Linked DNA regions of Ovis aries. The protein of the gene in region 2 interacts with the protein of the main gene of each other region in a biochemical or structural test. Links are inferred from orthologs where the notes say so. Each region holds a gene or a part of one and is shown on either strand. Other genes may lie near its edges.

Region 1 (4,285 bases), about 220 kb from region 2:
TGGTCCCAGGAATTTCACAGATAGAGACACCTTTTACAATTTCATGGCTAATTTAAGAAATAATTTATGGATTCTTACAGTGTAGTTCAAGTATCTTGAGTGGTTTGGGGGTCCCCACCTGAGGATGATGGCAATCACAGCAAGAATAAAGCCCATTTCCACTCTTTCACAACTGGCAAACAGGTTGGTGTTTGTTAGGACAACAGAGGGTCCAGTTCATGAGTCCAGTTCATGGGAGGAGTTTCCTGCCCACATAGTAAGGAAGAGTTCCCTGAGCCTCAGTGGCTGAGCAGAGGTCACTCTGGTGCTTCTGTCTGAAAGAAAAGGAGCTGTCAGGGAAGCCCATGCCAGGAGCTGGTTCTGGGAATACAGTAGTAACTGAGCCTGGGAGCAGGTGGATTTGAGGCAAGAGGACTAGTCAATAAGATAGAGATTTCAAGTCCCTACTGCAGCTCGAGGGACAGAGATTTGGGGAGGCCAAACACTGAGGGAGTGAACAGGTCTGACTCCTCAGCCTGAGGGTTAGGAGGAAGAGTGAAACAGAGCAAATGGAGAAGGGAGAAACCCGAGGCTGGAAATCCCAGCTCTGAGTAGGGGAGTGCTGGGGTGGGAGTCAGTCTTAAGGAAAAGATGACTGCCCTGCAATGAGGAAAGGTAGGCACTTGAGAGGGGTGGGGAGGTTGGGGCTGCACCAGGGAACTGTACACATTCTAGCAGTTGTCTAGCATGTCCCATTTCCTTTCGTTTTAGTATTTGATTGCCTTCTCCGAGTATTTGAGGAAAGAGTGCTTCAAAGAGGCTGTTTTATCTAGAGTCATCAATGGGGCATGTGTGCTACTCGCTCAGTCGTGCCCGACTCTTTGCGACCTCATGGACTGTAGCCCGCCAGGTTCCTCTGTCCATGGGGTTCTCCAGGCGAGAATACTGGAGCGGGTTGCCGTTCCCTTCTCCAGGGAAATTTTCCCGACCCAGGGATTGAACTCGGGTCTCCGGCATTGTGGGCAAGTTCTTCATCGTCTTAACCTGCAGGCAAAACTTCCGCGCTGCTGCAGCTGCTGGAAAGCGCTGGAAGAATAAAGCGCTTCGGAACCTCCGTGTCCCACCGGAGTTCTCCTGTCACCTCCCGCCCAGTGGGACGCAGCTTTCGGGGACCGACAGTCCGATACCTCCAGCTGCGGGGGCGCCTCCATCGCGTTCCTAATGCCAAGGAAAAGTGCGAGAGGAACGAGGATAAACCTGGTTGTAAAAACGCACGCCACTTTTGCTAAAGAGCTCCACAGAGCAAAGCGGGTGGCTGCGGAATGGCAGGAACGACTGGGACCCGAACTTAGTCCGGGAAAAGAGGAAAGGGCCGGCGCCCAGACTGCATCCGGTGCCAGCCCGCCGCGGGGGAGGCGGGGCGCGCGAGGCGGGGCGCGGGGCGGGGAGCGCAGTGGGGCTGGCTCTCCGGCAGGCCCAGGCCGAGTTGTGCGGCTGCGACCCATTAGCAGAAACTGCCTGGACCGCCATGGCCGCAGGGAGTGCCCCTGGGTGTGCCCTGGGGGCCCTTGGACTGGTCTGCCTGTTCCTCAAATTGGGTGAGTGGAGGCCTCCTCCGGGAGCCCACAGGGACCGGTAGCGCGAGGTGTCAGTGGCCCCCGGGCTCCGGGCCCGGTGGACGGGCGCGGCCCAAGGCGGCTGCAAGTTCGGGTGGCGAAGGTGGCGGGGGGCACGCGCGCGGGACCTGGTCGTGTCATCCACAAATCACCATAGGGTGGTCAGTAAGAAACTTGCTCCTCAGGCTCTGAGGTCTGGGAAAAAGAAACCAGACTCCGGCTCGTTCTCCTTCCCTGCGCTCTTCCCTCCCTTTGGGAGTCCTTCTTAACTCCCACGATCCCCGAACCCCGCTTGTCTTCCACCCCGTGTTTTTCTGGAAGGGGTGCCTTTTCTGCGCGACCCCAGTGACTAAGTTACCACTTCCCGAGACGCCATCGTCCAGAACTTGAGCAGATCTTTTTTTTTTTACTGCTTCCGCAGCCCTCGAGCTTGTCCGGGGCGGGCCTCCCCACTGGCAGTGGATCGCGCTGTGTGCGCGCGCGCCGGCTTCTGCGCTGGGATGGGCGCCCCGCGGCCAAAGCCAAGTGCAACCGCGCCTGTCCCGCGGCCGCGCCCTGGGCTGATGGCGGTGGTTCAGAATCGCCTCGCAACAGGAACGAGTGGGCCTCGATTCGGAGTTTCTAAGTAGTGTGGCTGGTGCTGCTTTCCCCTCCCTTCGGAACAGAAAAGGAGGAATGTGTGAGTGTCTAGGACTGTGTTCCTCCTTTTCACACTTCTTCAGTTAAATTGTCACAACAGCCCCATAAGATAGGTATCTTTGTCTCCATTTTTTTACCTCCTCACCCACATCATCAACCTCTTCCCACACAGGCTCGTAGTTAAGTCATAGCCAAACCCCTGGAGCATAGTAACAGCCCCCTTAATTAGTACTGGGAAAATCCCCCTGCTGGCCCTTTAGCACACACATCTGATCAGCCTTTCCTCTCCACTTTGCGTTCAGAGTGTGTTGAGTGCCTGTGGAGGCATGCGTCTATGGAATACAGCCTGGGTGGGGGTCGTCGTGGTGGGTGGGGGTCGACATGTGCTCAAAAGTACCTACAGTGTAAGGCACAGAAGTAAATGTTGTAAGAGGTAAATATAAAGTGCTGCGGGTGTGCAGAGGGAAGAGAGCCACATCTTTGGTGAAATCAAATATCTTTCGTGAAGGAAAAACTTCCTGGAAGGGAGGGTGTGTGAACCTAGCCTCGGAGGACAGGTGGTATCATGCCATGATGTGGGAAAAGGTGCCAGGAGGAGGAGATCAAGAAAGAAAGAGGAGGAGAATGTAGAGGGAAAACTTTGGCAGTAGGGAGCCATCAGTGTCACTGGAGAGTCGGTGTGCCCGTGGGATCTTGAGGCCCCATGGGGGACCCCGAAAGTCCCCTTTGGGAGCTGGGATTCTCTCCTGCAGGCAAAGCAGACCTGTTTCTGGGCCTGACAGGAGCAGACCCATCCACTTAGAATAATCTGGCAGCAGTGAAGAGAAAAGATTGTAGTTGAGAGGGATTGGAGGCAGAGGGGGCCAGGACAGGTACCATCACAGGCGCCAAAGGCTGTGAGGGTTTCATAGGCCAGAGCTGTCAGCACGAGGAAGAAGCACATACCGAGGTTGAACGGATGAGGTAATTCCTTCAGATGTGCAGGTCTCTCCCTGGTCTCAGAAGGCAACTTTGGCCACCACTGCCTGTTGCTATGCTCTTTTCCACTGAAAACAGTCTACCGATCTAGCCACACCTTTTCTAGGAAGACTCTCTAAAAACAGTCCCCTCATGATGGTCTCTCCCACCTAATTCATTTATTTATTCAGAGGTCATTTGGTTCTGCAGACATGAATATTACCTACTCTGAATAGGCTTTGCGCTAAGGAAAACTCTATAGCTCTGCAGATAGTGAGCCCTTTGGGTACCAAGCCGGTCTCAGTGGGGAAAGCTGCCTAACTGACTAACAGTATTGGATCTCAGATCCTGGCCCCGCCCCTCACGGTTAAAACTTCTGTAAGTTACCTCACTTCTCTGTGACTCTGTATCTTTGCCTTTGAAGAGAGAGCAGCACACACGTGAGAGAAAGGATACTAACATCTGCTTCATAGAATGATGGTGAGCATCAGTAATTCAACACATACTTACTGTCAGCTCTATGTCGGCACAGGGAAGCTTACAATTATTAGAGTGGGGGAGAGACAGTGAAGAAAGAAAGCAGTAAGTGTGCAGTTGTTGGGTGGTTGTGAACATTTACTAATACAGAGGTTAGCAGTGCAGAGCAAGGGAAATGGAAGTGGTTAATAGTTCTTACTAATTTTCTTAAATTTTGGAAAACTTAAAATCTTTAGAGTAGTTGTGAAAACAGTACAGTGAACACTTGCATGCCTTTCTCCTTGAATCACCAGTTATTAACATTTTATCACATTTGGTTTACTTCTCTCTCTTTATAGAGACAAACACCCACACCTACCCAGTTACTTTTTCTTGTTGTTTTTTTGCTAAACCGTTTGAGAAATGCAGCTCTTACAACACCTTAACCCTAAATATTTCAACATAGGTCTTGTAAGAATAATATGTCTCCAGGAAGCCCTGGCACCATTTTCAGAGTCAGGAAGTATAGCATGGATAAAAGACTGTTTTCAGATGGGGTCCAGAAGCCAGTCCTGGATCATACAAGTTTGGTACTCACGCCTGTTTGTGCTGTGCTATACTTAGTCACCCAGTCCTGT
Region 2 (4,222 bases):
AGAAGGATTGATTAATATTTCAGAGAGAACAGACATCTGCTCTCCATTTGTCCCATGAGAGCTTAGGAAAATTATCAGAAAGGCCAAGGCAGGGAGCCACATGGCCATCACCATGTCGCCTGGACCAGGACTTGGGAGGCTGTGGTTGGCAGCTGGCTAGTGGGTGAGCCACTTAGAGGTAAGGGGGCTAGAGGCAAAATGTTTCTCAGGATCTGCATATGCTTTGGAACAGATGTGTCCTAAGCACCCTTTATTAAAAACACTTGTTATTACAGAATGAATATGTTCATTATCAAAATTTCTAATTTCACCGAAGTTGATAAAATAGTGAAAGTTTCCTTTTTGCCTGTCCTGAAAGGGATGTGCTGTGAAAAGTTTGGCATGAGTCTTTACAGATTTCTTCCTATGTCTGCACTATTATAGTATAACGCAATACAATATGATATATAATATGCTCTTAGGGCTGCTTCATTCTATTTTAACTCAACCACTATTTCATCATATGAATATACCACAATTTCAGTTGTTTGAAAATTTTTATTACCAAAAAAGCTATAACAAATATCCTTGGACAGAATTTTTACACACTTATTCAAGCGTTTTTGAAGGATAGATTTCTCAAATTAAAATTACTAGGTTAAAATATATATATATATATATATATATATATTTTTTTTTTTTAAGTTTAGTGGAAACTGTCAAATCCCATCCATGGGAAGTATACTTTATACTCCCTCAAGTATTATATGAAGGTGCCTGCTTCTCCCAACATTCCTGTCAATAATGTAAATCACTATCTTTTCTAATTTTACCAATTTGAATGTGAAGATGGTGTTTTATGACTTATATATATATATAATAGCTATTATATATATATATATCTGTAGCATTAGATGTCTTCTCATACATTTACTGACATTTTTTCTATAATGTATTTCTTTTATAGATTGCTTGTTTGTATTCTTTGTTGATTTTAAAAACCAAATTTCATTTGTCTTATTGATTGATAGGAACAATTTACTTATTTCAATAGTAATACTTTTTCATATATACTGCAGTAGAGGGCATAGAAGGCGGGCCGTAAGGTTGCATCTGGCTCTTTGTTAACTAAAGGGTGATTCTGAGTGGCTTACATAGTTTGTTAGTTCCTCTTCTCTTTGATGAGCATAATAAAACCCACCCAAGGCTGCTGTGAGGATTAAAACATGATGAGAAGACACACTCAGGCATATACCTGCTTTGGCAAAGAGCTACATCAGCCAGGTTGGTTTTCTGAATTGTATACGCTTGTATGTGTGTGTGTGTGTGTGTACGTCTGTTTTCTATGTTACCTAAAGAAGCAAAAAAGAGAGGCACGTGGTTAAGCTCACAGGGGGTGGATTCCACTGATGTTAACTTGAGTTCCTTTTGCAAGAAGAACACAGAATCACAGAAGGAAACGATCCCCAAAGATGAACCTCGCATGTGAACTCTTAGCCAGCTTCCTTCTGATTTTCACTGTTCCCACCAAAGGTAAGTTGGTGTGAGGGTCTTCACTCTCACTGTTAGCAGCTTCGTTGGAGACCCTGAACTGAGCTTAAAAGTCAGAAAGGGCACAGCCCTGCTTTTCCTTGGGAGCGAGGCACCTCAGCACCTGTCTTGTTTTTTGTAGGTGAAGACCCTGAAAGCACTGTCGTCTGGGGTGCCCTGGATCATGATCTCAACCTGGACATTCCTGGTTTTCAGAGAAGTGACATAGTGGCAGATATACAATGGCACAAGAGCAGAAACAAGATTACACGAATGAAGAAAGATATGCCACTTTACAAGCTGACGGACAAATATGATATGTTTACAAATGGAACTCTGAAAATTAAAGCTCTGATGAGAAACGATAGTGATCTCTATAAGGTAGAGGTATATAATTCCAATGGAGTAAACCTACTGAACAAAAAATTTGATTTGAAGATTCAAGGTAAGTCTTTGACCCCTAAATTCCTCCATCGCAAAATGGGTGCTATTTAGCAAGCCAAAGAGTAGCATTTATGCAAGGTCCTCAGCCCAGATGTTGGCCTTGGGGAGCCCTAGGGGAAACCGAACGCATTCCTCCTGCCTTGATGCAAGGTCCAGTCTTGCGGGAGAGACAGATAGACGCCACAGCTAATAGACCCTCACGTCTACACACTTCACCTCTCCAGAGGTGGTGGGGATGCTGATTTGCGTGAAGGATCTAGATTGACATGGCATTATTTAGGAGGAGGGGAATCAGTGGGCAGAAGGGGGGAAAGGTGACCATTTCAGGTGGATGATGAAGGATAAGCTATGAGGCTAGGAAGGGGAGGCTGACTGAAGGGCAGTGGGTCTTCTGCCAGAGAGACAATTTCAAGCCCGGATGTCCTGAAGGAGTGGTGGTAAGGCAGGAAAGGGCTGGAAATAATGCATTAAAGGATGAATAGTTTCTAATCTGCTCAACACCAGAATGATCAAAGGTAGAAGGTATTCTTGCTGGTATCTGTAGAAAATACACAAGGTGTGGCTCTGTATGTCTATGCGTGTACCGGGGGAGCAGTAGTAGCTACGGAAGATGAAAGATGGAAGACTAGGCAGGGAGCTGCTGCTTTAATCCGGGGGAAGCAGGAAGGGGCTGGTTGGTGAGTCTTAATTCAGGCTTCATGTTGCAATCAGCTGAGGTACAGTAAAATTTACCAGTACTAAGTTCCATCCCAGACCAAATAAATCAGAGTTTCTTGGCTCAGGGCCTGCGCATTGTAGGTGCTAAACTCCCCAGGTGATTTTAAAGCACAGCTGGAGCTGATAACCAGTGGCCTAGACCAAGTGAAGTCGCTCAGTTGTGTCCTACTCTTTGCGACCCCGTGGACTGTAGCCTACCAGGCTTCTCTGTCCATGGGATTCTCCAGGCAAGAATACTGGAGTGGGTTACCATTTCCTTCTCCAGGGGATCTTCCCGACCCAGGGATCAAACCCAGGTCTCCCTCATCGGAGGCCTAGACCAAAGGGTGCCTATAAAATGCCTGAAGCATGCTTACACTGAGGGTCATGTGTGGAAAAAGGATGGACAAAGTGGCTTGAGTTCGAGAGAGAGGGACGAGAAAGTAGAATTGAATTGACATTGAAGTTGCAAGTCCAGGAGTCACTTGGCAGGGCATGGATAACAGTAGAAGAAGCTGAGCTTTGCTTGGAGAAGAAGATAGGAACCTGAGCCTGAACACAAGCCAGAGATTCAGTGAGCAAATAAGCATTTCCGTGCTTGACACAGGAAATGCAGCCAAAGGAAGGGCCCCCTCCTCCTTCGTAAAGTCACCCTCCAGCCCTGCTCTTGAGCACGGGAATCTGGTAGCAGCCCCCACCCACAACAGTCACAGATGGCAGCCCCCCTGCAGATGACAACTTTCCACACCTAGTCCGGCACCAGAATACAGACTACAGCTCAGAAATGGGGTGAGATAGATGCAGCCAGAACGGGCCTCTGTTGTGGGCTCTGGGAACCACAGATATCATAACTTTGGCCAAGTATCCTGTTTCAAACTTGAGCTTCACATCCACGTATCATTTACTATTGCCTGGGTGATAATGGCTACTGGTGATGTGTTACGCGCTTTGTTACATGCTCTTACTTAAGGATCCCAACAATCCTGAGAGGTAGTTATTCCCTTATCAACTATGAGGAAACAGGTAGTGGTCTGACGGGAGCAAAGTCAGGATCCAAACCCAAGGCTGGTTTCAGCAAGGATGGTGACATTCTGCCCTCACCCTGCCCCAACCCACCCCTACCCCATCGGCTTTATTGAGACATAATGCACATACCGTAAAATTCACCATATAAAGTACATGATTCTATGGCTTGTAGCGTATTTACAGAGTTGTACAACCAAACCGACAATCAATTTTAGAATGTTTTCACAACCTCAAAAATAAATTCTCACTCTTTTGCCAAAAGACAGAGATCTTTCCATGACACAACTGCCATCGTGTTGTGTGTGTGTGTAAATGTTACGCAGCATGTCCATTTGTGATCCAGTCACCATTTCTTGCCACATGGCCTTGGGCAAATTCTCTATCTGCTCTGAGTCTGATTTTCATAATTATAGCCCTATGGGGGATTCGTGGGACAAGGCTTCAGGGAAACAGCTAACCATAGGTGCCTCAGGCCCCTGGGACGCAGTATCTGTCTCCTCAGTGCTAGAGCTCTCTCCATCTCTTTGTTCCTTCAAGCTTCTCTGTT
Region 3 (4,249 bases), on a different chromosome or scaffold from region 2:
GACTGGACAGAAGGGCTTTTCCAAACTGAGCAGAGGGAAAGGGTGCAGATTAAGGGAACTGGGTGAGGAGGCAACTCCCCGCGAGGGGGCCCCCTGCACAACAGATCTTTTACTTGGCGGGTACTAGATCCACTTTGGGAAGGGAGTACAGAATCAGGAGCCGAAAGGCGAGCTGGTAGTCCAGAACCCGCCCCTCCCCCCGCCCCTCCCGGGACTTGGCTTAGCATCTAAAAGAGCCGCTGGTGCGGAGACGCAAGAGCGGACGGGCGGAGGAGCTCCTACGGGCACCCCCACCCTTGACAAGAGGAGACGGGCTCCCCCACGTGACCACCCTTATTCCAGGCCCCAGCAGTGCTGGGCGCGATGTGCTTCGCGGGTAAACACCCGCTCCACCACCCCCAGCTTCCTCGGAACCCGAGGGGCCCCGGCAGACCCAGGACCTAGCGCCCTGGCAGCCCCGCTCCTCCCTGCGCCGAACTCCCAACTCCGCGGGGTGACTCCCAACTGTCTTGGGCTGTGTACAAATTAGAAAGGCGGCAGGGCCACGGGGACACCAGCAGTCCCGCCGGCACGCGCTCACCTAAGGATCCAGGAAAGGTGGGGGAAGAAAGGGAGAGAGGGTTTCACCAGGGCTACATCCGGGCCACCCGCCCGCCACCACCCGGAAGAGAACTGCGGAAGGCGGCGGGGAAAGCCGGAAGTGGCTTCACTCGGGTTAGATGAACAACTGAAGGAGCGGGCGGAAGTACGCGCCGCGCGGGGAGAGACGCCCCCTCCCAGAAGTGACGCGAGCCGTGTGGGGTGACTATGGTGAGAAGAGGGGACATTTGAACGCCTAGACCCTGATCGGACGAGGATGGCCGGAAGTGATCTCGGTTTCCTCCTACAACACTAGAGGCTCTGAGGAGAAAGGGGCGCCCAGGTTCACGATGGAGGAACAAAGTCCCAGCAGGGCCGGTGGGTTCCTGCCCTAGTTTTCTCTTTCCCGGGTTGTCTCCTTTTCCCCACGGCTGGTTCTGCGCCCTTCATCATCTCATTAGAAATCCTGCCTTCCTACTCTTGGCGTCCAGTTGTCCGCCCTTTGCTAGTCCGAGGTGTAGCCTTGCTGTTGTCCCAGAGGTTCTCCTGGGACTTTCCGAACCCAGCTCCTTTTAGGACCCAGGGGAAGTCTAAAATCAGCCGCCTCCTATCCCCTGGCCAAGTTCCTGGTTTCTGAGGTGGGAAGAGTCAAATAGGAGAGGTGGCAGTGGCACCTGTTCCCAGTACCGAGGCCTGAAGTCCCTTGTGCCCTCATCTCAGGTAGGCCTGGGAAAGGGCCGTAGTGGATATCCGCCAACCCCACCCCCAAACAGGACCCCAGCACTACAGTCCTGCCCAGGTTTTGTAATTTGGCCCAAGGGGCAGAGCTGAGGTTGGGAGGTGGGTGGAAGGTCCTTCTTGAAAACTCAAGTTTGAATCCCTCTAGACCAAGACCAAGACAGTGCCCAGAAAGAGCCTGCTGGAACCAGAGGAGGGCAGTGCTGGGGTACTCCGGATCACCAAATGCCCCACTCCTCCTTTCTCCACTCCTAGGGTTTCTTCCCACAGTGGGCTACCATGAAACTGCACCGAAAGTCCGTGCTCCGTTTCTTCCGTGGGTACAGAACACAGGCTCCAGACCGGGAGGGCATCCTGCTAAAGAAGGGGGCCCGAAATACCAGTTATCAGCGCCGCTGGTTCATCCTGCGAGGAAACCTCCTCTTCTACCTGGAACACCAGGCTGACCACACACCCCTGGGTCTCATCCTATTAGAGAACTGCCAGGTGGAGCCACGCCTTGGAGCCACAGAACCTTATGCCTTTACCATTCGGACTCCAGGGGGAGATGGTGGGCGGGCCTACAGGCTGGCAGCAGAAAACCGGGAGGAGCTGAGAGCCTGGCTGTGGGCGTTGGCCGGAGCCACCTGGACGCGGCTGGCTGAGCTGCTACGCCCCCTGGAGGCCCAGTACCGGGAGCTGTGCCAGGCAGCTGGCCAAGAGCCCGGCTCACCCCCAGAGGACTGTGGCTCCCCAGCCACCCCCAGGACCCTCTTCAGCTTCCAGGAGTTGCACGAGCACTTTGGAAAGGAGATCCGGATGCTGCAGGCTGTCCACAGACAGTTCCAGGAGGCCAGTGACAACGGAGGCAGCAGATCCCCAGCAGGTGGAGGTGAAGCAGGAACGCAACAACTGTGTTGATGAGTGACTAATAGACTAAAGACCCAAAGGTATCTGCCAAGTCCAGTCAACAGCTTCCAGAGACACCCAGATCCTTGCTAACTCATCACTCCCTCCCTCCTTGTCCTTACTTTAACCCCACTCATCAAATAACAAGGCAAAAGACAGGCCCAGGTACAACAGCAGGTTCTTTTCCGGTTCCTCAAAGCGGCCGAACAGGGTGGGGGCAGAGACAGAAGAACATGTAAACATTGGGTTCCACCCCCTGGGGCTCAGGGGAAGACCCTTACCCAGGAAGGGGCTGGAGGGTTGGAAGGGACAAAGTGAAAGGCAGGGGCCCTGGTCAGATAAAGCAGGGGAGGCCTGAGAATACAGAGAAAGGTGGGTGAAGAGGAAGGAGAGCAAGGAGGGTGGTGGTGGGAGGTGGGAGACATTTCCTGTTCCAGTGCGTGTCCCCTTAAATAAACTAGAGTGCAAGAACACTGAGGAGGGAGAACCAGAGAACAGAAGATGGAGTGAACACCCCCACCCGGGGCCCACCAGGTCCTCTGTACATAATTACAACACAGAGATGTCCAGAAGGAGAGCAAGAAGAGCCTGGGCCCCCAACCAGGAACTGGGGGAAGACAGGCAGGACTGAAGGGGGTAAAGGAACCCAGCTTCACTTCACGGGTAAGGGGAGTGACTGGAGTGTAAGAATCTGAAAACTGCTGACTCCCACTGCCACAGGTCACCCCTGCGGTGACCAAAGGCCAATCAGGAGAGTGGCACCTGGGAAGGGACCCCAGTTGGGCCGAGCTGGAGGTGAGGTGTCCACTGCTTCCCCAGGGAAATGCAGCTGCCCCCCGTTCTGACTGTCCTGGCCACGTGGGGATCAGCGGCTGGCACGGAGACGGGGAACAAGCCACTTTCCTCAAAAAGAGGGACAGCCTGCCAAGGGCGGGCTGGGAGCAGGACCCCAGGCTAGGTCTGCTCTTGGCTGAGGGAAAAGAGGGGGCCACGTAGTCCAGCCCCAGGGCAGAGGTCAGAAGTACGCATCCTGCCGGGCCTCTGATGCTGAGGACCTGTCCCCGCCGTCCTGGGGGGCAGGCGGTCCATCTGCCTTTCGATGGAGTGAGAGCTTCCTGCCCTGGGCCTTCTTCTCCTGCTTCTGCCGCTCCTTCTCCTGTTTCTGCTGCTCCTTCTCCTGCTTCTGCCGCTCCTTCTCCTGCTTCTCCCGTTCTTTTTCCTGTTTCTGCCGCTCCTTCTCGCGTTCCTTTTCCTGTTTCTGCCGCTCCTTCTCCTGCCTCCGGGCCTCCTTGCCGCTAGGGGCCAGAGGGGCGCTGTTGCCAGTAGGCGAAGGAAGGGATGGACGCAGTCCCTCGGCGGTGACCACGGGCCCTGGGGCAGGCCCCGCGCTGGCCCTGCGGACGGGAGGGGGTGGGGAGGGGACCCCTCCACCTGCCCGGGAGCCCCGGCTCTTGAGGCCAGGGAGGCTGAGGAGGCTGGAGGAGGGGCCCAGGGGGGGCAGCTGCCGCCGGCGCTCCTCGTGGATGGCCCGGGAACCGTGTAGTCTCCGTGAGGGCCGATACTGCAGCTCGCCCCGGGTTTCCAGCCACTTCTTGAGCTGGGCTGCGTTCTCTCGCTCAATCAGTGCTTCTGTCACTTGGAGGTTGGTCACCTAGATGGAGAAGACATGGGTACCAGGGTGAAGTGGGGTGGGGATCTACTGAAGCGGGTGTGAGGTACGCTAAGGCCAGGACCTACCTCGTGCACCAGGAAGTCCTCCTGCATGCACTGCTGAGGCAAGTTCCGCAGCTGCTCCATGGTCTCATACATGCCTTGGCAGGAGCGCAGCTTTTCCACCGAGCCCAGCGTGTGCCGCAGCAGCACCAGGGCCACCCGGAAGATGATCTTGACGCCTGCAGGCCCGAAGAGAAGAGGCCATGGGTGATCAGCCTGGGGGGTCTCAGCCTGGCCCGTGCAGGGGGTACTCACAGCCCCCATCCCTGTGTATTGTTGACCCGACAGATGAGGAAATGGAGGCCTTGAGAAGAAAATGAGCCACCATGGG

The links. The genes of interacting proteins can lie anywhere in the genome.
Region 1: the proteins of CD2 (region 2) and CD58 form a complex in vitro, tested with the Homo sapiens proteins (3 studies listed by BioGRID and IntAct, with this or other methods). The link is inferred for Ovis aries from reciprocal best matches to the Homo sapiens genes CD2 and CD58.
Region 3: the proteins of CD2 (region 2) and CD2BP2 interact in a biophysical measurement, tested with the Homo sapiens proteins (6 studies listed by BioGRID and IntAct, with this or other methods). The link is inferred for Ovis aries from reciprocal best matches to the Homo sapiens genes CD2 and CD2BP2.

What each region holds. Positions count from the first base shown.
Region 1 is NC_056054.1:93,935,781-93,940,065, reverse strand, and holds the start of CD58 (lymphocyte function-associated antigen 3), read left to right. Parts: upstream 1-1,485; 5' UTR 1,486-1,507; coding exon 1,508-1,577; exon of another isoform or gene 1,578-4,285. UniProt on the Homo sapiens protein: Ligand of the T-lymphocyte CD2 glycoprotein.
Region 2 is NC_056054.1:94,155,546-94,159,767, forward strand, and holds the start of CD2 (T-cell surface antigen CD2), read left to right. Parts: upstream 1-1,422; 5' UTR 1,423-1,451; coding exon 1,452-1,512; intron 1,513-1,651; coding exon 1,652-1,954; intron 1,955-4,222. UniProt on the Homo sapiens protein: CD2 interacts with lymphocyte function-associated antigen CD58 (LFA-3) and CD48/BCM1 to mediate adhesion between T-cells and other cell types. CD2 is implicated in the triggering of T-cells, the cytoplasmic domain is implicated in the signaling function.
Region 3 is NC_056077.1:27,062,918-27,067,166, forward strand, and holds the start of CD2BP2 (CD2 antigen cytoplasmic tail-binding protein 2), read right to left. Parts: upstream 2,801-4,249; 5' UTR 2,218-2,800; coding exon of another isoform or gene 1,597-2,217; exon of another isoform or gene 1,573-1,596; intron 1,300-1,572; exon of another isoform or gene 1,215-1,299; intron 650-1,214; exon of another isoform or gene 581-649; intron 26-580; 5' UTR 1-25. Other genes in the region: sesquipedalian-1-like, read left to right, coding at 1,597-2,217; TBC1D10B (TBC1 domain family member 10B), read right to left, coding at 3,221-3,856, 3,943-4,097. UniProt on the Homo sapiens protein: Involved in pre-mRNA splicing as component of the U5 snRNP complex that is involved in spliceosome assembly.